Linked DNA regions of Xenopus tropicalis. The protein of the gene in region 1 purifies or fractionates together with the protein of each later gene. This does not show direct contact. Links are inferred from orthologs where the notes say so. Each region holds a gene or a part of one and is shown in the gene's direction. Other genes may lie near its edges.

Region 1 (9,753 bases):
ACATTTCTTTTTCCTAGTGTAAAGTGGGTGGAAAATTTCTGTTGCATTAGATTATTCAGCCACAAAATCAATTTGTGCTTATTATGCAATGGTGTTTTTTTTTTTCCATTCCTGCAGGAAGATCACAATCAGCCACTGTTTGGGGTTCAGTTTAACTGGCACAGTAAGGAGGGAGACCCGCTGGTTTTCGCTACTGTTGGAAGTAACAGGGTATGTATGGGAATGTGATGGCAAGCTATTTACAATGAGGGGGCAGCTGGGGCAGGGTTTCCCTTTCATTTGCCAGTCATTTCACTTAAGGGGAATTAGTTTGCCTAGTAAAACTATACATCTATTTTTTTTTATAGAACCTGGACTTTCTAATTGTTTTGTTTAATTCCACTTCTTATGGGTCTAAAAAAAAAAAAATAGATGTTGCCAGTTTGCATAAGATGTGTTTATATAGGGATATATCACTAAAATGTTCTATATGTGAAAATACTGATACTATTTACTGAATAAAACTGATTTCGAAATCTGCATGATTCATGAATGTGCCAATGCCAAATATGTATAGTTTTATGGAGTGTCAATAAAGTGATTAAAGAGGCCAAAACGAAAAATTTGCCTGGGAGGCATTACTGTTCCTTTACATAAAGATTTAATAATGCAAGTATAAGGTAAAAACTTGTTTATAAAAATGTTAATGAGGCTTTTTGCAGCTATTGCTCTAGGGCAGTGATCCCCAACCAGTGGGTCGTTAGCACCATGTTGCTCCCCAACCCCTTGGATGTTGCTCCCAGTGGCCTCAAAGCTGGTGCTTATTTTTGAATTTCTAGTTAGGAGGCAACAAAGGGAAAGTTGTGCTCAACACTGCATTTTAAACCATTAGGCGGGGGTGCAATGAGGCTGTGACCACACAATTCATATTTGATGTAGTTGGCCAGCCTAAATATATTGCTATATATGGAGTAACAATCCCTGTTTTGTTTGAAGGGGAGGGATTCCTTCGTTCCACTAGAATGATCTAAGGATATTTCCTTAGATCATTCTAGTGAAACAAAGGAATCCCTCCCCTTCAAACTATGGGTTATTGCCCCGGTGCAATGCAGCAGTCGTGTTGGTAATTGATGCCTTGTATTTTCCTGCTTTCTATTCATTAATATTTGGTCTGCGTTGGTTATTGATGATATAATTGCACCTAGGCACACTACTTTTTGAAATGGTGTTGCAGAATGCAAGTCCATTGGGATGTTTTTCTCATTTGAAATTTTGATGTAAAGGGGACATAGTGTGTGAAAAACAATATGAATTGGACTCATAGAAGGAATGTGTTTTCAAATGTACTGTTTAGGGCTGATTTATTAGAAATTTCAACAAAAACCCCACTAGTCCCGCCCATCTGTTCCACTTCCTGCTGCCTTCTTTCCCGGGCTGTGCAGGGGGGCCAGTGGCACTCAGCACACTGCACTGTAGGATAGGAACCAATCAGCAGCTAGGCTGACCTGATAGGGAACTGGAGCCTTCCTTTGCTTGTGTGACTGCTGGGCTGTGATTGGCTCTCCCCCTTTTACTGTGCTTCCGGCAGGGACATTTAGGACATTGCTACTATTATATACTATATATACTATTATATATTATAAGGTGTTCCGGCTTTCTGTATATTTCTGCGAGATATCGCTATGCATATCCGTGGCCCCTCTGTTCTAAGAATGTTTGTTTTTCTCACATAGGTAACGTTATATGAATGCCACCCACAGGGGGAAATCCGACTGCTGCAGTCCTATGTGGACGCCGACGTATCCTTGACGAGTTTTGCTTTTTGCTGAAAATATTTGGAATTTGCAGTTAATTGTTGTTCACGGTTACAATCTAGGTTCCCAATCACATTCACACACACACACACACTAGTTGTTTCAGAAGCCAGGTTACCTGGCTGTATGTATTTGGGTGTGGGAGGAAAACAGGGTACCCAGAAAAAGCCACACAAACTCGGGGAGAACATACAGACTCTTTGCAGAGGAGCCTAGGAACCCGGCGCTGCAGGATTAAATCCAGGATTTGGTTCGGGATTTGGCCTTTTTCAGCAGGATTCAGCTGAGTCCATGGACCTGGCCCAACAGAATCCTTTAAGTCACATGACCTTTTTGTCACATAAACACGGAAGTTGAAACATTTTCACCTCGTACTTTGCATATGGTTCTCTTTAACCATTCCACAGCCTTATTTGTATATTCCAATTAGGGTTCGTTATTTAGCCAAATCTTTTATGATGGATTCAGGGTTCGGCCATATCCCAAAATAGTGGATTTGGTGCATCCCTAATCTTTAACCTGGGTATTTGTGACCCCTCATGTTAACTGGGAGTGTGCTAATAGTCAGTAAGAGCAATTAATTTAATGATTCAGACATTATCTATCAGTGGGGAATTGTGGGTGTCATGAACTGGGGTGCCTCTCCGCCCTTGGGTCTGGGACTGCGACGGATTCCATGTACAGCTTTTTCTCTCCTTAATTCTTACATTCAGGCAGATGAGAACTTTTATACTTGCGCTTGGACGTACGACAGCAACACAAGTCACCCACTTCTAGCAGTGGCTGGTTCTAGAGGGATCATAAGGATAATTAATCCTATTACTATGCAGTGTATTAAGGTAAGAGGATTTTCCTTGCATCCGTGGGATCATTTACAAGCTTGTTAGTAGCTGATATCTTAATCTGTAGTCTGGGTTTGATGCTGCCCTCACTGTTTGAAGATCGGTGCTTAAGGGTAAGAACTCACAGAGCGGTTCAGTGGCCCACGACAAACTGCTTTGGAAAGGTTTTCCACTGGAGACAGTAGGAGTCACCGGTGGAAAGCCCTTCACATTGTTTCAGTAATGCAAAATCTTCAGGGCTTTGGAAAACAAAGTGATGCAAAGGGCTTTTCACTGGCGGCTCCTACAGTTGCCGGTGGAAAACCTTTCCAAAGCGGTTTGTCGTGGGCCACTGAACCACTCTGTGGGTTCCTACCCTAAATACCCTTCTTGTATAAGCAAGTTGAGTAGTCTTTACGGCTATCACCAGATTTTAAATGCTGCAGCTGTACAGAAACTCCAGCTTTCAATATATTGTTTGTCTCATTTACTCATTTGATTGTGTTAAAGGGAAGGATCACCTTTAGGTACATTTTAGAATGGCCAGTTCTAAGCAATTCGTCTTATAGTTTTTTATAGTTTCTTCTAACACTTGCCAACTCTTAAATGGGGATCACTGACCCTAAAAGCCAAAAATAAGCTGTTCTGTGAGGCTACAATTTTTATTGCTTATCTTTCTATTCAGGTTCTCTCCTATTCATTTTTAACCCTAGCAACCAAAAAGTGTAATAATTAAAAAGCACAAATAATAAAAAATGAAGACCAATTGCAAATTGTCTCAGAATATTACTCTGTACATCATACTAAAAGTATCCCCCTTTTTCTGTAGGATTGCAAATAGCATTGTACATGGAATATATAACCATGCATAATATCTTTAATTTTCCTTCCACTTTCTTCTAGCACTATGTGGGCCACGGAAATGCTATCAATGAGCTTAAATTTCATCCAAGGGATCCAAACCTCCTCCTATCAGTTAGCAAAGGTAGGTGTGGAACTGTATAAGCTCTGAAGGGGTTGGTGGAGCTTTAGTGTCTAGGGGGTCACCTTATTTTTGTATATAATGTGCAGAAGTGAATTTATATCATAACCAACTCTATGTACTGTGGTTAAGAGCAGCTCTGTGCCGCTAAAGGCTATGGCTGCTGGTTTGTATGTGTCTTATTTTTTTTACACCATGTTTTATGCCCCCCGCAGATCATGCGCTAAGACTTTGGAACATACAGACAGACACACTTGTAGCCATTTTTGGTGGAGTGGAAGGTCACAGAGATGAAGTGTTAAGCGCGGTATGTATACTGCATTTGGGGGGGTGTTAGTGCTGTGTAGACCTGTTGAGAGAGAAGCATGCTGTCCCCCTTTCCTGCACAATATATAAACTCATCCCAGTCAGATATTAACCCAAACACAACTTAAGCGTTTAGAAAAGTAAACATAAATTCAAGTATTTTTACTTAGAAAATATGCAGCCTTTTCATGATGTTTAATGTAATAATCTGGTTTGGAACAGTTCCCTAAGCCCCGCCCCCTGTTCCCCTGCTGATTGGCTGACTACTTTGTGACTCAAATAACATGTAACAGTAGTTGCCTGTTCTCAGCCTGCCTCCTCCCAATCCCACAATCCCCTGCTGCACACGTGATGTCAGTAAGGAAAGGAACATCCCAGTGCAATGCATTGTGGGTTATGTAGTTACTGCATGCTGTCTGTAAGCTGGGGAGAAGTTGTTACAATTTGTAACATCAGGGCTTTAGTCCCTCCTCCCCTGCCAGGATTTCAGATGATGCAGAAAGAGAAGAACTGTTTTGCAGCTGGATTTTAGCATAAAAAATGGTATTTATTCCTTCTTTTTGAACAGATTACAGGGATCCCTATATTGGGGGTTTCTGTGCTGTGTGGGGCTCTTTAAGAAATTCTGGTACAGAAGCCGGAGTTCCCCTATTAGCAATGAGACTATCGTTTTGACTCAGTGAAAGGGCCAATGAGCTGCTGACTTGCTCAGAAGTATTCAGTATCGGCCCACATACAGCCAGCCTAATGGGTTTATTCACGCCTACATTTCTTCTCTAGTTTAGCTCAGGGCACACGGATTTTTGATTTCTTGACTTGAATATTTTGTTAGGCTTTATTGTTGCGGAAATATTTTCTTTCGGAAAAACGTTTCTAATATAGAGCATGTAGAATTTAATTTTCATATTGTTTTACGTAGCCATAGCTCAGTCTTAACTTGCTGCCTCTTTGCCTTAGGACTATGATTTGCTTGGTGAGAAGATCATGTCATGTGGTATGGACCATTCCCTTAAGCTCTGGAGAATTAATTCTTTAAGAATGAAGACGGCCATCAGAGAGTCTTACGAATACAACCCCAATAAAACAAACAGGTAATGCGATGCTTGACTGAGCTCGGTTCTGGACCCCGCAGGTCAATGTTTGGTATCCAAGCAATAACCAGCCTTACAGGCATACAATAAAATGGCAGCAGTGCTTATAGTAACCACAGAAGCTGGAAAGTCTGCTCAGTAACTGACAGTGCAGCTGCAAGGGTCAGTTTGTGTGTGTCTCTCACAGCAGCTATTTATTCATGCATTAATTCCCATTTAGTAAAGCCCTCTACTTTATTTGTCAATAGTTCTATAATAGTTCCCTAAGTTTGCTCATAGCCTGTACAGAGAGATACCATAAAACTATGGCAGCATAGGGATTCCCCTGTACTAAGCACAATTCAGCAGGAACAGCCCCCTAAGTTTGCTCATAGCCTGTACAGAGAGATACCATAAAACTATGGCAGCATAGGGATTCCCCTGTACTAAGCACAATTCAGCAGGAACAGCCCCCTAAGTTTGCTCATAGCCTGTACAGAGAGATACCATAAAACTATGGCAGCATAGGGATTCCCCTGTACTAAGCACAATTCAGCAGGAACAGCCCCCTAAGTTTGCTCATAGCCTGTACAGAGAGATACCATAAAACTATGGCAGCATAGAGATTCCCCTGTACTAAGCACAATTCAGCAGGAACAGCCCCCTAAGTTTGCTCATAGCCTGTACAGAGAGATACCATAAAACTATGGCAGCATAGGGATTCCCCTGTACTAAGCACAATTCAGCAGGAACAGCCCCCTAAGTTTGCTCATAGCCTGTACAGAGAGATACCATAAAACTATGGCAGCATAGGGATTCCCCTGTACTAAGCACAATTCAGCAGGAACAGCCCCCTAAGTTTGCTCATAGCCTGTACAGAGAGATACCATAAAACTATGGCAGCATAGAGATTCCCCTGTACTAAGCACAATTCAGCAGGAACAGCCCCCTAAGTTTGCTCATAGCCTGTACAGAGAGATACCATAAAACTATGGCACATAGGGATTCCCCTGTACTAAGCACAATTCAGCAGGAACAGCCCCCTAAGTTTGCTCATAGCCTGTACAGAGAGATACCATAAAACTATGGCACATAGGGATTCCCCTGTACTAAGCACAATTCAGCAGGAACAGCCCCCTAAGTTTGCTCATAGCCTGTACAGAGAGATACCATAAAACTATGGCACATAGGGATTCCCCTGTACTAAGCACAATTCAGCAGGAACAGCCCCCTCACTGCCCCCCCCCCCATCCCAGTACTTGGCCTGTGCAGAAGTGAAGGGATGATTCTAAGGTGAATATCTCTTCAGCAGCACATGTTTTGTTAACTATATGGCAAAGATTCTATTAATGTGAACTGTTAGATTTGTGAATGTTGTACAAAGGTGAACAACCCCTTTAATGCACAAATGAGCAGTGTCCTCCTTAAGTAATGGCTTAAATGGGTTTGCTAATTTATTAAGGTGAGTTATATACATTTTTACAGTGAAATATTGAATGTTTTAGATTAAAATTGTATTACAAGTGGATTTCTCTAACTAATCTGTATTTTCTCATTGCAGGCCATTTGTCTCGCAGAAAATCCATTTCCCTGATTTTTCCACAAGGGACATACACAGAAACTATGTTGATTGTGTCAGGTGGTTAGGAGACCTTATTTTGTCTAAGGTGAGTGTTACTGTCGCTATCACTTTGTGTATGCATTGATCATACAGTTACATACAGTAAACAACAACCAGAGATAAAGGGGCCCTGCCCAACAGCTGGACCTACAGATACGATATCCGCCCGGTGATGGATATTTGTGTAGAAGGAGGCTGAATGCATTTACTCTGTAATTTCAGTCTTGTGAAAATGCAATCGTGTGCTGGAAACCTGGTAAAATGGAAGATGATATAGACAAGATCAAAGCCAGCGAGTCCAACGTGACCATTCTGGGGCGCTTTGATTACAGTCAGTGTGATATTTGGTATATGAGGTTTTCCATGGACTTCTGGCAAAAAGTAAGTGACATTCCATCTTTCTTGTATTAAAACAGTTTGAGATGATCTTTATCACGTCAATTGCTAATATTTATGCCTGCAGCTAAGGTATGCATTTGTAAAATGTGCTCTCATAGACTTTAGTATAGCTTCAGCTTGGGGAGTAGAGTCCTGCTCCTGGTCAGGTACCTACAGAGCAGTCGGTCTTGTGGTCTTGTGAGGAAAAGTTCTAGGAAAACTATTCCCCCAGAATGAATTCCTAAACAACAGACAGTTTATATTAAGTGACCTAATAAAGAATCTCGCCAAACTGGAATATATATATATCAGTAAATATTGCCCTTTTACATCCTTTCCCTTGAGCCGCCATTTAGTGATGGGCTGTGTGCTCCCTCAGAGATCAGCTGACAGGAAGTGATGCAGCTCTAACTATAACAGGAAGTAGTGTGGGAGTAAAAGGCAGAACTCTGCCCATTCATTGGCTGATGGGGCCTAGCATGTATGTGTGCCTTGGCTTGTTTGTGTGCTCTGTGAACCCTATGATCCCAGGGGGCGGCCCTTAGTACTTAAAATGGCAGTTTCCTATTTAGGATTACCCAATGGCACATACTGCTAATAAAGTATATTTATATGAAAATGGTTTATTTAGATGAAGCAGGGTTTACATATGAGCTGGTTATGCAGTATATTTTTTATAGAGACCTACACTGTTAGGAGTATAGTTTTCCTTTAAAAAACACAGAAGTGAGTTGCATTCTTGCAGAATGCTCTTTAAGCATCTTATAAAACTGACCAGTAAGGCCAAAAAGCAAAGGGAAATGATGTAATCAGAATATTCCTAAAATCCTTTCTGAACAGGGAGGGCTGTAGAAGCTGTATACCTGCTGTATGATTATGTTCAGCAGAGCTACAGCATAGTGCCAATGTACCCTGCTATCCATCATGTTGCATTGTACAATATTTTTTATTCTTTTTTTTTTATCTGTAAGATGCTGGCCTTGGGTAACCAAGTAGGAAAGCTCTATGTTTGGGACTTGGAAGTAGAAGATCCACATAAGGCCAAGTAAGTCTCTCTCTTTCTCTTTCAATTAGTAGTATGTTTTGCAGTTGCTTTGTGTTTTAGCTGTTGCTTGGTTACCACTCAGTATTTGACTAGTCCAGCCATTAAATCACCAGCAAGGGCCGGGGACAATATAACAAACTTACCAGCAATGGAATTGCCAATAAATATATAATGCCCTACAAATCCCTCCCTTCCCTGACCCTCTCTGCTGATGGATTATAAGGCCAGACCCACCTACACTCCGTCCATTTCCCCCCCCTTCATGTGTTGCCCACGCCTGTTCCCTATTAGTACTGGTACAGTTTGTACCTGGAGGTTCTTTAAATTCAGTCCTTCCGTTGAAAAACTTAAGCTTGGCATACACTTGATGGTCTATCTAAGGCCAGTTTTAGGCCATATCAATTCTGTCCATGGGTACGGCTTGACTTTGCCTAAGACAACTCCCATTAAATCTACACAAACTTGCAAGCTTTTAGATGCAGAACTTTTACATTCACGATTTTGGGTTTGTGGCACTTAATAAATGTTGGGCATTTGTGTTTTTGAACCATAATTCCAGTTTTGAGAGTTTTAGTGAAAAAAAAACCTCAAATTGCGGAAAACAATTGCACCTTGTAATTCCCATTGTGCATTTCTCAGAATTAGTAATAGAGTGTGAGAAAGGAGTCTGACAGCGAGGCAGCCGGTAGGTACAGCGAGGCAGCCCGTAGGTACAGCGAGGCAGCCGGTAGGTACAGCGAGGCAGCCGGTAGGTACAGCGAGGCAGCCGGTAGGTACAGCGAGGCAGCCGGTAGGTACAGCGAGGCAGCCGGTAGGTACAGCGAGGCAAAGAAAAGAGTCAGAAATATTCCCCTATCATGGCTGGGTCTATTCTGGGTTTATTACAAGGCATAGCTGCTTATATATAATGTAACCACTCTTGTTCATCCCATGCAGGTGTACAACACTCACATACCCCAAATGTGCCTCGGCAATCCGACAGACGAGTTTCAGCAGAGACAGCAGTATCCTCGTAGCAGTGTGCGACGACGCTACTATTTGGCGCTGGGACAGACTGCGGTGAATGCTCTTCCCGTGCAGGACACCCCCAATGCACCATTTTGGTATAAAGCACCCCGGCGTTTGTGCCGACTAGTGTCTGGAGTAAGTGTGTTGGCTGTAGCCGAGTGTAGTGTGTGCCTCTCTCTCGCCCTTTCCGTACTGTTTATCCTGCTACAATTCAGCTGCTTTTAATAAAAATTTATTTTTGTACAGTTTTCTGTAATGTCTATGTTTTTATGGATTTTAATGTATTTACTGTAAAATGTATATGACATTTGGTATGTTTCATACAGGCATGTCTGAGGCCAGAATAAGTCGATGTTTTGTAAATATCTTATTTTCGGCAATTTTTTTTTTTTTTTAAATAACGTAACTGTTTATTTAAATGAAAGTCTTTATTGTGATGGTTATTTGCAATAACTACCAAACTGACTGAGTGGAGTAAATAAATATCGTGGGAAATGCCCCTTTAGAACTGACCTGAAATACAATGTTGTGGCTTGTTCTGGAGAACTGGTTTAAATAAATGAAAGCAATGAAAACCTTCCTCTCTATCTCGTCACAGAAGATGCTTCCGGTACATTCCCAAAACTGGGAACCTGAACTGTGTGTAAATACATGCTGGGATCTTTGTTACATTGCAATAGGACCTGCTCATATTTAAAAGAAGTAACCTGACAGGCATTCAGGAAGCTC
Region 2 (10,407 bases), on another chromosome or scaffold:
CCTTCCACTTATTTGTATAGATCCGCCCCTTTCCCAACCCACTTTCCTTATGGCTCCGCCCTTTCTGTCTCTGGGTCGGTACCGGGGGGTTATTGGGCCAATCTGGGCCCAGAGTAAAACCCAGAACTGGCGCTGAATGTCCCACACGGTCCAGTTGTTCCTTAAAGGGACGGTACCGCTGGTTTGGACCTTTCTGCCCGGCGTCTGTGTGAGCTCCTGAATGGAGGAAATGTACCAACTGGGGCGGTCCGACTCTCAGCCAATGAGAAACGGGGAAAATAAAGCGATTTATAGACACGTTCTGTCTGTCTGTCTCACTCTCTGTCTGTCTCACTCTCTGTCTGTCTCACTCTCTGTCTGTCTCACTCTCTGTCTCACTCTCTGTCTGTCTGTCTCACTCTCTGTCTGTCTGTCTCACTCTCTGTCTGTCTGTCTCACTCTCTGTCTGTCTGTCTCACTCTCTGTCTGTCTGTCTCACTCTCTGTCTGTCTGTCTCACTCTCTGTCTGTCTGTCTCACTCTCTGTCTGTCTCACTCTCTGTCTGTCTGTCTCACTCTCTGTCTGTCTGTCTCTCTGTCTGTCTGTCTCACTCTCTGTCTGTCTGTCTCACTCTCTGTCTCACTCTCTGTCTGTCTGTCTCACTCTCTGTCTCACTCTCTGTCTGTCTGTCTCACTCTCTGTCTCACTCTCTGTCTGTCTGTCTCACTCTCTGTCTGTCTGTCTCACTCTCTGTCTGTCTGTCTCTCTGTCTGTCTGTCTCACTCTGTCTGTCTGTCTTACTCTCTGTCTGTCTGTCTCACTCTCTGTCTGTCTTACTCTCTGTCTGTCTTACTCTCTGTCTGTCTCACTCTCTGTCTGTCTCACTCTCTGTCTGTCTCACTCTCTGTCTGTCTCACTCTCTGTCTGTCTCTCACTCTCTTTGTCTGTCTCTCACTCTCTTTGTCTGTCTCTCACTCTCTTTGTCTGTCTCTCACTCTCTTTGTCTGTCTCTCACTCTCTTTGTCTGTCTCTCACTCTCTTTGTCTGTCTCTCACTCTCTTTGTCTGTCTCTCACTCTCTTTGTCTGTCTCTCACTCTCTTTGTCTGTCTCACTCTTTTGTGACTGTCTCTTACTCTCTGTCCACCTGTCTCACTCTTTGCCTGTCTCACTGTCTCTTTCTCCCTCACTCTGTGTCTGTCTCTCACTATGTCTCTCTGTCTCACTCTCTTTCCTTCCCTCTGATCACTGCTGGGACTCTCTGCTCTTCTCCAGTTGAATTTCCCAGCATTCCCATAACTACCCCTGTGGGAAGCAGCAGGGAGGGGCTAATAGGGCAGATATTGGGGCTCTTATCAACAATACTGAATCCCATAGCGACCAATCAGTGATTTGCTTTCTCCAGCCAGCTGCAGGTAGAACAACGACTGCAACAGTTTGATTGGTTGCCATGGGTTACTGCCTGGGGCAAATTTGCCCAGTGTTAAATAAATGCCCCCTATTGGATGTTGCTCAGATTTACCTGTGACTTCTCTGCTGCAGAAATAGGGAGATTCTGTCATCAGCAACTTAGACTTTTCTATCAGTTTCCCTGTGACTCCTCCCCCATACCCCACCCCCCCCCCCCCCCCCCACATATGCACAGGAAGCAGAGACAGTCACACGGGTACCGGGAAATACACTCCCCCGTGCACAGGAAGCAGAGACAGTCACACGGGTACCGGGAAATACACTCCCCCGTGCACAGGAAGCAGAGACAGTCACACGGGTACCAGGAAATACACTCCCCCGTGCAAAGGAAGCAGAGACAGTCACACGGGTACCGGGAAATACACTCCCCCGTGCAAAGGAAGCAGAGACAGTCACACGGGTACCAGGAAATACACTCCCCCGTGCAAAGGAAGCAGAGACAGTCACACGGGTACCGGGAAATACACTTCCCCGTGCAAAGGAAGCAGAGACAGTCACACGGGTACCGGGAAATACACTCCCCCGTGCAAAGGAAGCAGAGACAGTCACACGGGTACCGGGAAATACACTCCCCCGTGCAAAGGAAGCAGAGACAGTCACACGGGTACCGGGAAATACACTTCCCCGTGCAAAGGAAGCAGAGACAGTCACACGGGTACCGGGAAATACACTTCCCCGTGCAAAGGAAGCAGAGACAGTCACACGGGTACCAGGAAATACACTTCCCCGTGCAAAGGAAGCAGAGACAGTCACACGGGTACCAGGAAATACACTCCCCCGTGCAAAGGAAGCAGAGACAGTCACACGGGTACCGGGAAATACACTCCCCCGTGCAAAGGAAGCAGAGACAGTCACACGGGTACCAGGAAATACACTCCCCCGTGCAAAGGAAGCAGAGACAGTCACACGGGTACCGGGAAATACACTCCCCCGTGCACAGGAAGCAGAGACAGTCACACAGGTACCGGGAAATACACTCCCCCGTGCAAAGGAAGTAGAGACAGTCACACGGGTACCGGGAAATACACTCCCCCGTGCACAGGAAGCAGAGACAGTCACACGGGTACCGGGAAATACACTCCCCCGTGCAAAGGAAGCAGAGACAGTCACATGGGTACCGGGAAATACACTCCCCCGTGCAAAGGAAGCAGAGACAGTCACATGGGTACCGGGAAATACACTCCCCGTGCAAAGGAAGCAGAGACAGTAAACACGGGTACCGGGAAATACACTCCCCCCGTGCAAAGGAAGCAGAGACAGTCACACGGGTACCGGGAAATACACTCCCCCCGTGCAAAGGAAGCAGAGACAGTCACACGGGTACCGGGAAATACACTCCCCCCGTGCAAAGGAAGCAGAGACAGTCACACGGGTACCGGGAAATACACTCCCCCGTGCAAAGGAAGCAGAGACAGTCACATGGGTACCGGGAAATACACTCCCCCGTGCAAAGGAAGCAGAGACAGTCACATGGGTACCGGGAAATACACTCCCCCGTGCAAAGGAAGCAGAGACAGTCACATGGGTACCGGGAAATACACTCCCCCGTGCAAAGGAAGCAGAGACAGTCACACGGGTACCGGGAAATACACTCCCCCGTGCACAGGAAGCAGAGACAGTCACACGGGTACCAGGAAATACACTCCCCCCGTGCAAAGGAAGCAGAGACAGTCACATGGGTACCAGGAAATACACTCCCCCGTGCAAAGGAAGCAGAGACAGTCACATGGGTACCGGGAAATACACTCCCCCGTGCAAAGGAAGCAGAGACAGTCACACGGGTACCAGGAAATACACTCCCCCGTGCAAAGGAAGCAGAGACAGTCACATGGGTACCAGGAAATACACTCCCCCGTGCAAAGGAAGCAGAGACAGTCACACGGGTACCAGGAAATACACTCCCCCGTGCAAAGGAAGCAGAGACAGTCACACGGGTACCAGGAAATACACTCCCCCGTGCAAAGGAAGCAGAGACAGTCACATGGGTACCAGGAAATACACTCCCCCGTGCAAAGGAAGCAGAGACAGTCACACGGGTACCAGGAAATACACTCCCCCGTGCAAAGGAAGCAGAGACAGTCACATGGGTACCGGGAAATACACTCCCCCGTGCAAAGGAAGTAGAGACAGTCACATGGGTACCAGGAAATACACTCCCCCATGCAAAGGAAGCAGAGACAGTCACATGGGTACCGGGAAATACACTCCCCCGTGCAAAGGAAGCAGAGAGAGTCACATGGGTACCGGGAAATACACTCCCCCGTGCAAAGGAAGCAGAGACAGTCACATGGGTACCAGGAAATACACTCCCCCGTGCAAAGGAAGCAGAGACAGTCACACGGGTACCGGGAAATACACTCCCCCGTGCAAAGGAAGCAGAGAGAGTCACATGGGTACCGGGAAATACACTCCCCCGTCTCTACTTCCCTTGCACAGGGGAATCTATTCCCTAGAACTGGTGTGAATATCTCCACTTCCTGTCTGGTAGAGAAACGGCAGCCCAGGTTTGCTTTATGGCAGGTCAGAGCTTTGTTCTTAAACGGAAACAATCAGTTACCCTTTATGGAATAGGATGAATTACAGCACTGCTGGGAGAGGAGGCCAGAGCCTGATTGAGAAAGGAGAGCGGAGCAGTGTATGGAATGTAAGTCCCCACTAGGGGGCAGTATGGGAAGATATAACAGTAGGAGGAGCCTAAGAGCCTCTCGTCCAATAACTAGAAGCCTTTCCTCTCCCGGCCCAGTAAGAGTTCCGCTTCTCACTCCGCTTTGGCCCTCTACGGGCGCCGTAACGCATGCTGCCGCAGTCTCCGCCCCAAGCCCCGCCCCGCCGCTAAGGGAAGCTCCGAGCTTAGTGACAAGATGGCCGCCGCCTCCTCTTGCTCCGAGCCCTCCGCGCCCCCCGCCGGCTCCTCCAGCCCCCCTCCCGCCCAGCCTGCCGTGCCCCCGCCCGGGGAAGAGGAGGACGAGGCGGACGATGAGAGCAGCAGGAGCTCCGGGTCGGAGCGTCCCGACAGCCCAGCGGGACAGGAGAGTCAGGGCCCCGGGGGGGGAACCGGCAGCTCCGGAGCGGGGAGCCTGGCTGTGTCCGAGGGGGAACCGCTCAGCCGCATGGACTCGGAGGACAGGTCAGTGCCCCAGGGGCAATTGGATTGGGGCAGGTACTTGGGGGCAATTGTGGTGGCAGCAGGGAGAATGGGGGCGGGGTTAGTAGGGTAGGGGGCGGGGTTAGTAGGGTAGGCTGGGCTCTGGGGGCAGATACAGTTGGGTCATTGGACTGAGGGGGAATAGAAATGAGGGGCAGTTACATTATGGGAGGGGTAGTTAGAGGGCAGGATGGGGCAGTATTCATTACCTGGGTAGGAATAGATAACATGGAGCTGGGGCAGTTACATTATGGGAGGGGTAGTTAGAGGGCAGGATGGGGCAGTATTCATTACCTGGGTAGGAATAGATAACATGGAGCTGGGGCAGTTACACAGGGGGGGGTTAGTACTGAGGCACTATATGTTCTGCCCCTAGGGGGCTGCACTCACATTCCCTGGGGTTGGATAGGGCAGGGGAGGATGATGGGAAGTGTAGTCCTGTCACATGTCACGGTGGGGGCGGGGCAGTAAGTGGGGCAGGTTGTACTTGAGCAAATGAGAATCCGATCTATTGAGCCCTCTGTTTCCACCTCTGGGGCACTTACCAGATCTGCCCCCCCCAGTGTTAGCGATTGGTCGGTACCCCACTGGCCCTTTGGCCCTCACAGTGACCGGGGCCCCGCTGGTTCCTTCTGTCCCCTCAGTCTTATGGGGAAAGGTTCAGTCCTTGCCTTGTCCAGCCGCCCGGAACTACCCCACCCGGGGGGATATATCACTCTCTGTAGCAACAGCCCCTGTGAGTAAGTAGTGCACTCATGTATAGGGGCAACATTCATTAGCAATTGCCTCATTAGCCTGAGGGGCAATTGTACTCTATGTGCCCCTCTCACCTCTGTCTGCCCCGACTGTCAGGGTCCCCAATTCTCTGTACTTCCTGCTCCTGGGCTGCTCTCTTTCCCATGGTCAGGCAGGAACCTCCCCCTGGGTAAGTGAATCCAATCTCCCCCCAGTACTTACCCAGGTACAGAGCTCTGATTCTCTGTACTTCCTGCTCCTGGGCTGCTCTCTTTCCCATGGTCAGGCAGGAACCTCCCCCTGGGTAAGTGAATCCAATCTCCCCCCAGTACTTACCCAGGTACAGAGCTCTGATTCTCTGTACTTCCTGCTCCTGGGCTGCTCTCTTTCCCATGGTCAGGCAGGAACCTCCCCCTGGGTAAGTGAATCCTGTTGGGGGGCAGTATAGCCCAGTAACCCCTGCTTGTTGCCCCACAGTATCAGCAGTACCCTGATGGATGTGGACAGTGTGGTCTCCAGTGGGCGCTCGACTCCCGCCATGATGAACGGCCAAAGCATGATCAGCACGTCGGCCAATAAGAGCCTCTCTTACAGCTGCTGCTGGGACCAATGTCAGACCACCTTCTCCTGCAGCCCCGACCTGGCCGACCACATTCGCTCTTTCCACGTGGATGGGCAGCACGGGGGGGTGAGTGCTCATTGGTTCTCTGCAACGTGGGGCGGGGCATTCCCTCTCTGTATATTTGTATTTATACATATGGGTAGGGGGTGCCATAGTGTTTCCCTTAGACAGTACAGTATGGGGGTACAGCTTATTGTGTGCCCAGAGCATTCCTTCTCTGTATATTTGTATTTATACATATGGGTAGGGGGTGCCATAGTGTTTCCCTTAGACAGTACAGTATGGGGGTGGGGCTTATTGTGTGCCCAGAACATTCCCTCTCTGTATATTTGTATTTATACATATGGGTAGGGGGTGCCATAGTGTTTCCCTTAGACAGTACAGTATGGGGGTACAGCTTATTGTGTGCCCAGAACATTCCCTCTCTGTATATTTGTATTTATACATATGGGTAGGGGGTGCCATAGTGTTTCCCTTAGACAGTACAGTATGGGGGTGGGGCTTATTGTGTGCCCAGAACATTCCCTCTCTGTATATTTGTATTTATACATATGGGTAGGGGGTGCCATAGTGTTTCCCTTAGACAGTACAGTATGGGGGTACAGCTTATTGTGTGCCCAGAACATTCCCTCTCTGTATATTTGTATTTATACATATGGGTAGGTGGTGCCATAGTGTTTCCCTTAGACAGTACAGTATGGGGGTACAGCTTATTGTGTGCCCAGAACATTCCCTCTCTGTATATTTGTATTTATACATATGGGTAGGGGTGCCATAGTGTTTTCCCTTAGACAGTACAGTATGGGGGTACAGCTTATTGTGTGCCCAGAACATTCCTTCTCTGTATATTTGTATTTATACATATGGGTAGGGGGTGCCATAGTGTTTCCCTTAGACAGTACAGTATGGGGGTACAGCTTATTGTGTGCCCAGAACATTCCCTCTCTGTATATTTGTATTTATACATATGGGTAGGGGGTGCCATAGTGTTTCCCTTAGACAGTACAGTATGGGGGTACAGCTTATTGTGTGCCCAGAGCATTCCCTCTCTGTATATTTGTATTTATACATATGGGTAGGGGGTGCCATAGTGTTTCCCTTAGACAGTACAGTATGGGGGTACAGCTTATTGTGTGCCCAGAACATTCCTTCCCTGTATATTTGTATTTATACATATGGGTAGGGGGTGCCATAGTGTTTCCCTTAGACAGTACAGTATGGGGGTACAGCTTATTGTGTGCCCAGAACATTCCTTCTCTGTATATTTGTATTTATACATATGGGTAGGGGGTGCCATAGTGTTTCCCTTAGACAGTACAGTATGGGGGTACAGCTTATTGTGTGCCCAGAACATTCCTTCTCTGTATATTTGTATTTATACATATGGGAGGGAGGTGCCATAGTGTTTCCCTTAGACAGTACAGTATGGGGGTACAGCTTATTGTGTGCCCAGAACATTCCCTCTCTGTATATTTGTATTTATACATATGGGTAGGAGGTGCCATAGTGTTTCCCTTAGACAGTACAGTATGGGGGTACAGCTTATTGTGTGCCCAGAACATTCCCTCTCTGTATATTTGTATTTATACATATGGGTAGGGGGTGCCATAGTGTTTCCCTTAGACAGTACAGTATGGGGGTACAGCTTATTGTGTGCCCAGAACATTCCTTCTCTGTATATTTGTATTTATACATATGGGTAGGGGGTGCCATAGTGTTTCCCTTAGACAGTACAGTATGGGGGTACAGCTTATTGTGTGCCCAGAACATTCCCTCTCTGTATATTTGTATTTATACATATGGGTAGGAGGTGCCATAGTGTTTCCCTTAGACAGTACAGTATGGGGGTACAGCTTATTGTGTGCCCAGAACATTCCCTCTCTGTATATTTGTATTTATACATATGGGTAGGGGGTGCCATAGTGTTTCCCTTAGACAGTACAGTATGGGGGTACAGCTTATTGTGTGCCCAGAACATTCCTTCTCTGTATATTTGTATTTATACATATGGGTAGGGGGTGCCATAGTGTTTCCCTTAGACAGTACAGTATGGGGGTACAGCTTATTGTGTGCCCAGAACATTCCTTCTCTGTATATTTGTATTTATACATATGGGTAGGGGGTGCCATAGTGTTTCCCTTAGACAGTACAGTATGGGGGTACAGCTTATTGTGTGCCCAGAACATTCCCTCTCTGTATATTTGTATTTATACATATGGGTAGGGGGTGCCATAGTGTTTCCCTTAGACAGTACAGTATGGGGGTACAGCTTATTGTGTGCCCAGAACATTCCCTCTCTGTATATTTGTATTTATACATATGGGTAGGAGGTGCCATAGTGTTTCCCTTAGACAGTACAGTATGGGGGTACAGCTTATTGTGTGCCCAGAACATTCCCTCTCTGTATATTTGTATTTATACATATGGGGGGGGGCCTGTGTAGGTGGGGCACTAACCCCCGGCCGTGTTGCTCGGGGCACTAACCCCCGGCTGTGTATGTTACAGGTGTACGTGTGCTACTGGAAGGGCTGCAAGGTGTATAATACCCCATCTACGAGTCAGAGTTGGCTGCAGAGGCACATGCTGACCCACAGCGGAGACAAACCCTTCAAGGTATTGTGGGAACGGCCAATCGGGCAATGTGTAAGCTCCTCCTTCCTGTATAAGCTCCTCCTTCCTGGGAAGGCCCAGCCCATTACTGCTATTGGGCAGCAGCACTGCACTGGGCTAATCCATAATGGGGGAGGAGCCAGAGAGAAGGGGGCTGAGACAGGGGAACAGGCGGTGCTGCACCCACAGATCCCAGCAGCGCCCCAAGGTACCGTCTGTGTCGGGGGGGGGGCCCCAGGGGCTAAATGTCCCACTATAATTGGGGGGTAAGTGCAGGCTGAGGGGCTACACACTGGGGGGCACAGCAGCTGCACATTGGGGCACCTTAGGGCCGACAGTGAGTTTGTGGGGGGGGACCCTGGGCTCGGTACTGAGGCAAAGTCTTGTTTGATTGACAGTGCGTCGTTGGCGGCTGCAATGCCAGCTTTGCCTCCCAGGGCGGCTTGGCCCGGCACGTGCCCACTCACTTCAGCCAACAGAACTCCTCCAAGATGGCCAATCACTCCAAGTCCAAGGAGGAGTCGCCGTCCAAAGCCGGACTGAACCGCAAGCGCAAGCTGAAGATCAAGCGGAAACGCACCCTCCGTAAGTGCCCCCCCTGGTACGGAACCTTCTGTGTTCTCCCCCCCTGGTACGGAACCTTATGTGTTTTTCTCCCCCCCCCCTGGTACGGAACCTTCTGTGTTCTCCCCCCCCCTGGTACGGAACCTTATGTGTTCTCCCCCCCCCCTGGTACGGAACCTTATGTGTTCTCCCCCCCCCCCAGTACGGAACCTTATGTGTTCTCCCCCCCCTGGTACGGAACCTTCTGTGTTCTCCCCCCCCCCCTGGTACGGAACCTTCTGTGTTCTCCCCCCCCTGGTACGGAACCTTATGTGTTCTCCCCCCCCCCCCCCCCCCCCCAGTACGGAACCTTATGTGTTCTCCCCCCCCCCTGGTACGGAACCTTCTGTGTTCTCCCCCCCCCCTGGTACGGAACCTTCTGTGTTCTTCCCCCCCTGGTCGGAACCTTATGTGCCCCCCCTGGTACGGAACCTGCTGTGTTCTTCCCCCCCTGGTACGGAACCTTATGTGCCCCCCTGGTACGGAACCTTCTGTTTCTTTCCCCCCCCCCTGGTACGGAACCTTAATGTGCCCCCCCTGGTACAGAACCTTCTGTGTTCTTCCCCCCCTGGTACGGAACCTTATGTGTTCTCCTCCCCCCCCTGGTACGGAACCTTATGTGTTCTTCCCCCCCCTGGTACGGAACCTTCTGTGTTCTCCCCCCCCTGGTATGGAACCTTATGTGTTCTCCCCCCCCTGGTACGGAACCTTATGTGTTCTCCTCCCCCCCTGGTACGGAACCTTCTGTGTTCTCCCCCCCCCCCCGGTACGGAACCTTATGTGTTCTCCCCCCCCCCTGGTAACGGAACCTTAATGTGTTCTCAACCCCCCCCCCTGGTATGGAACCTGCTGTGTTCTCCCCTGGTATGGAACTTATGTGTTCTCCCCCCCTGGTACGGAACCTTATGTGTTCTCCTCCCCCCACTGGTACGAACCTTATGTGTTCTCCCCCCCCCCCCTGGTACGGAACCTTCTGTGTTCTCCCCCCCCCCCCCCCCCCCCCCCCCGGTATGGAACCTTCTGTGCCCCCCCTGTAAGGCACCAGCCTCTCCCTGTGTGGGCACCAAGCTGCCCCTGCCCTGTAAGGTACCAGGCTGTCCCTGTGTGGGCACCAAGCTGCCCCTGCCCTGTAAGGTACAGCCTCTCCCTGTGTGGGCACCAAGCTGCCCCTGCCCTGTAAGGTACCAGCCTCTCCCTGTGTGGGCACCAAGCTGCCCTGCCCTTAAGGTACCAGCCTCTCCTGTT

Evidence for each region. The genes of interacting proteins can lie anywhere in the genome.
Region 2: the proteins of eed (region 1) and aebp2 purify together in Homo sapiens (affinity purification with mass spectrometry; 6 studies listed by BioGRID and IntAct, counting the BioPlex papers as one, with this or other methods). This does not show direct contact. The link is inferred for Xenopus tropicalis from reciprocal best matches to the Homo sapiens genes EED and AEBP2.

The regions. Positions count from the first base shown.
Region 1 is NC_030678.2:168,809,569-168,819,321, reverse strand, and holds the end of eed (polycomb protein eed), read left to right. Parts: intron 1-117; coding exon 118-210; intron 211-1,712; coding exon 1,713-1,778; intron 1,779-2,506; coding exon 2,507-2,632; intron 2,633-3,517; coding exon 3,518-3,599; intron 3,600-3,811; coding exon 3,812-3,903; intron 3,904-4,859; coding exon 4,860-4,993; intron 4,994-6,533; coding exon 6,534-6,639; intron 6,640-6,815; coding exon 6,816-6,974; intron 6,975-7,942; coding exon 7,943-8,016; intron 8,017-8,952; coding exon 8,953-9,079; 3' UTR 9,080-9,589; downstream 9,590-9,753. UniProt on the Homo sapiens protein: Polycomb group (PcG) protein. Component of the PRC2/EED-EZH2 complex, which methylates 'Lys-9' and 'Lys-27' of histone H3, leading to transcriptional repression of the affected target gene.
Region 2 is NC_030679.2:752,546-762,952, forward strand, and holds the start of aebp2 (zinc finger protein AEBP2), read left to right. Parts: upstream 1-4,177; 5' UTR 4,178-4,308; coding exon 4,309-4,574; intron 4,575-5,804; coding exon 5,805-6,015; intron 6,016-8,454; coding exon 8,455-8,562; intron 8,563-8,957; coding exon 8,958-9,144; intron 9,145-10,407. UniProt on the Homo sapiens protein: Acts as an accessory subunit for the core Polycomb repressive complex 2 (PRC2), which mediates histone H3K27 (H3K27me3) trimethylation on chromatin leading to transcriptional repression of the affected target gene.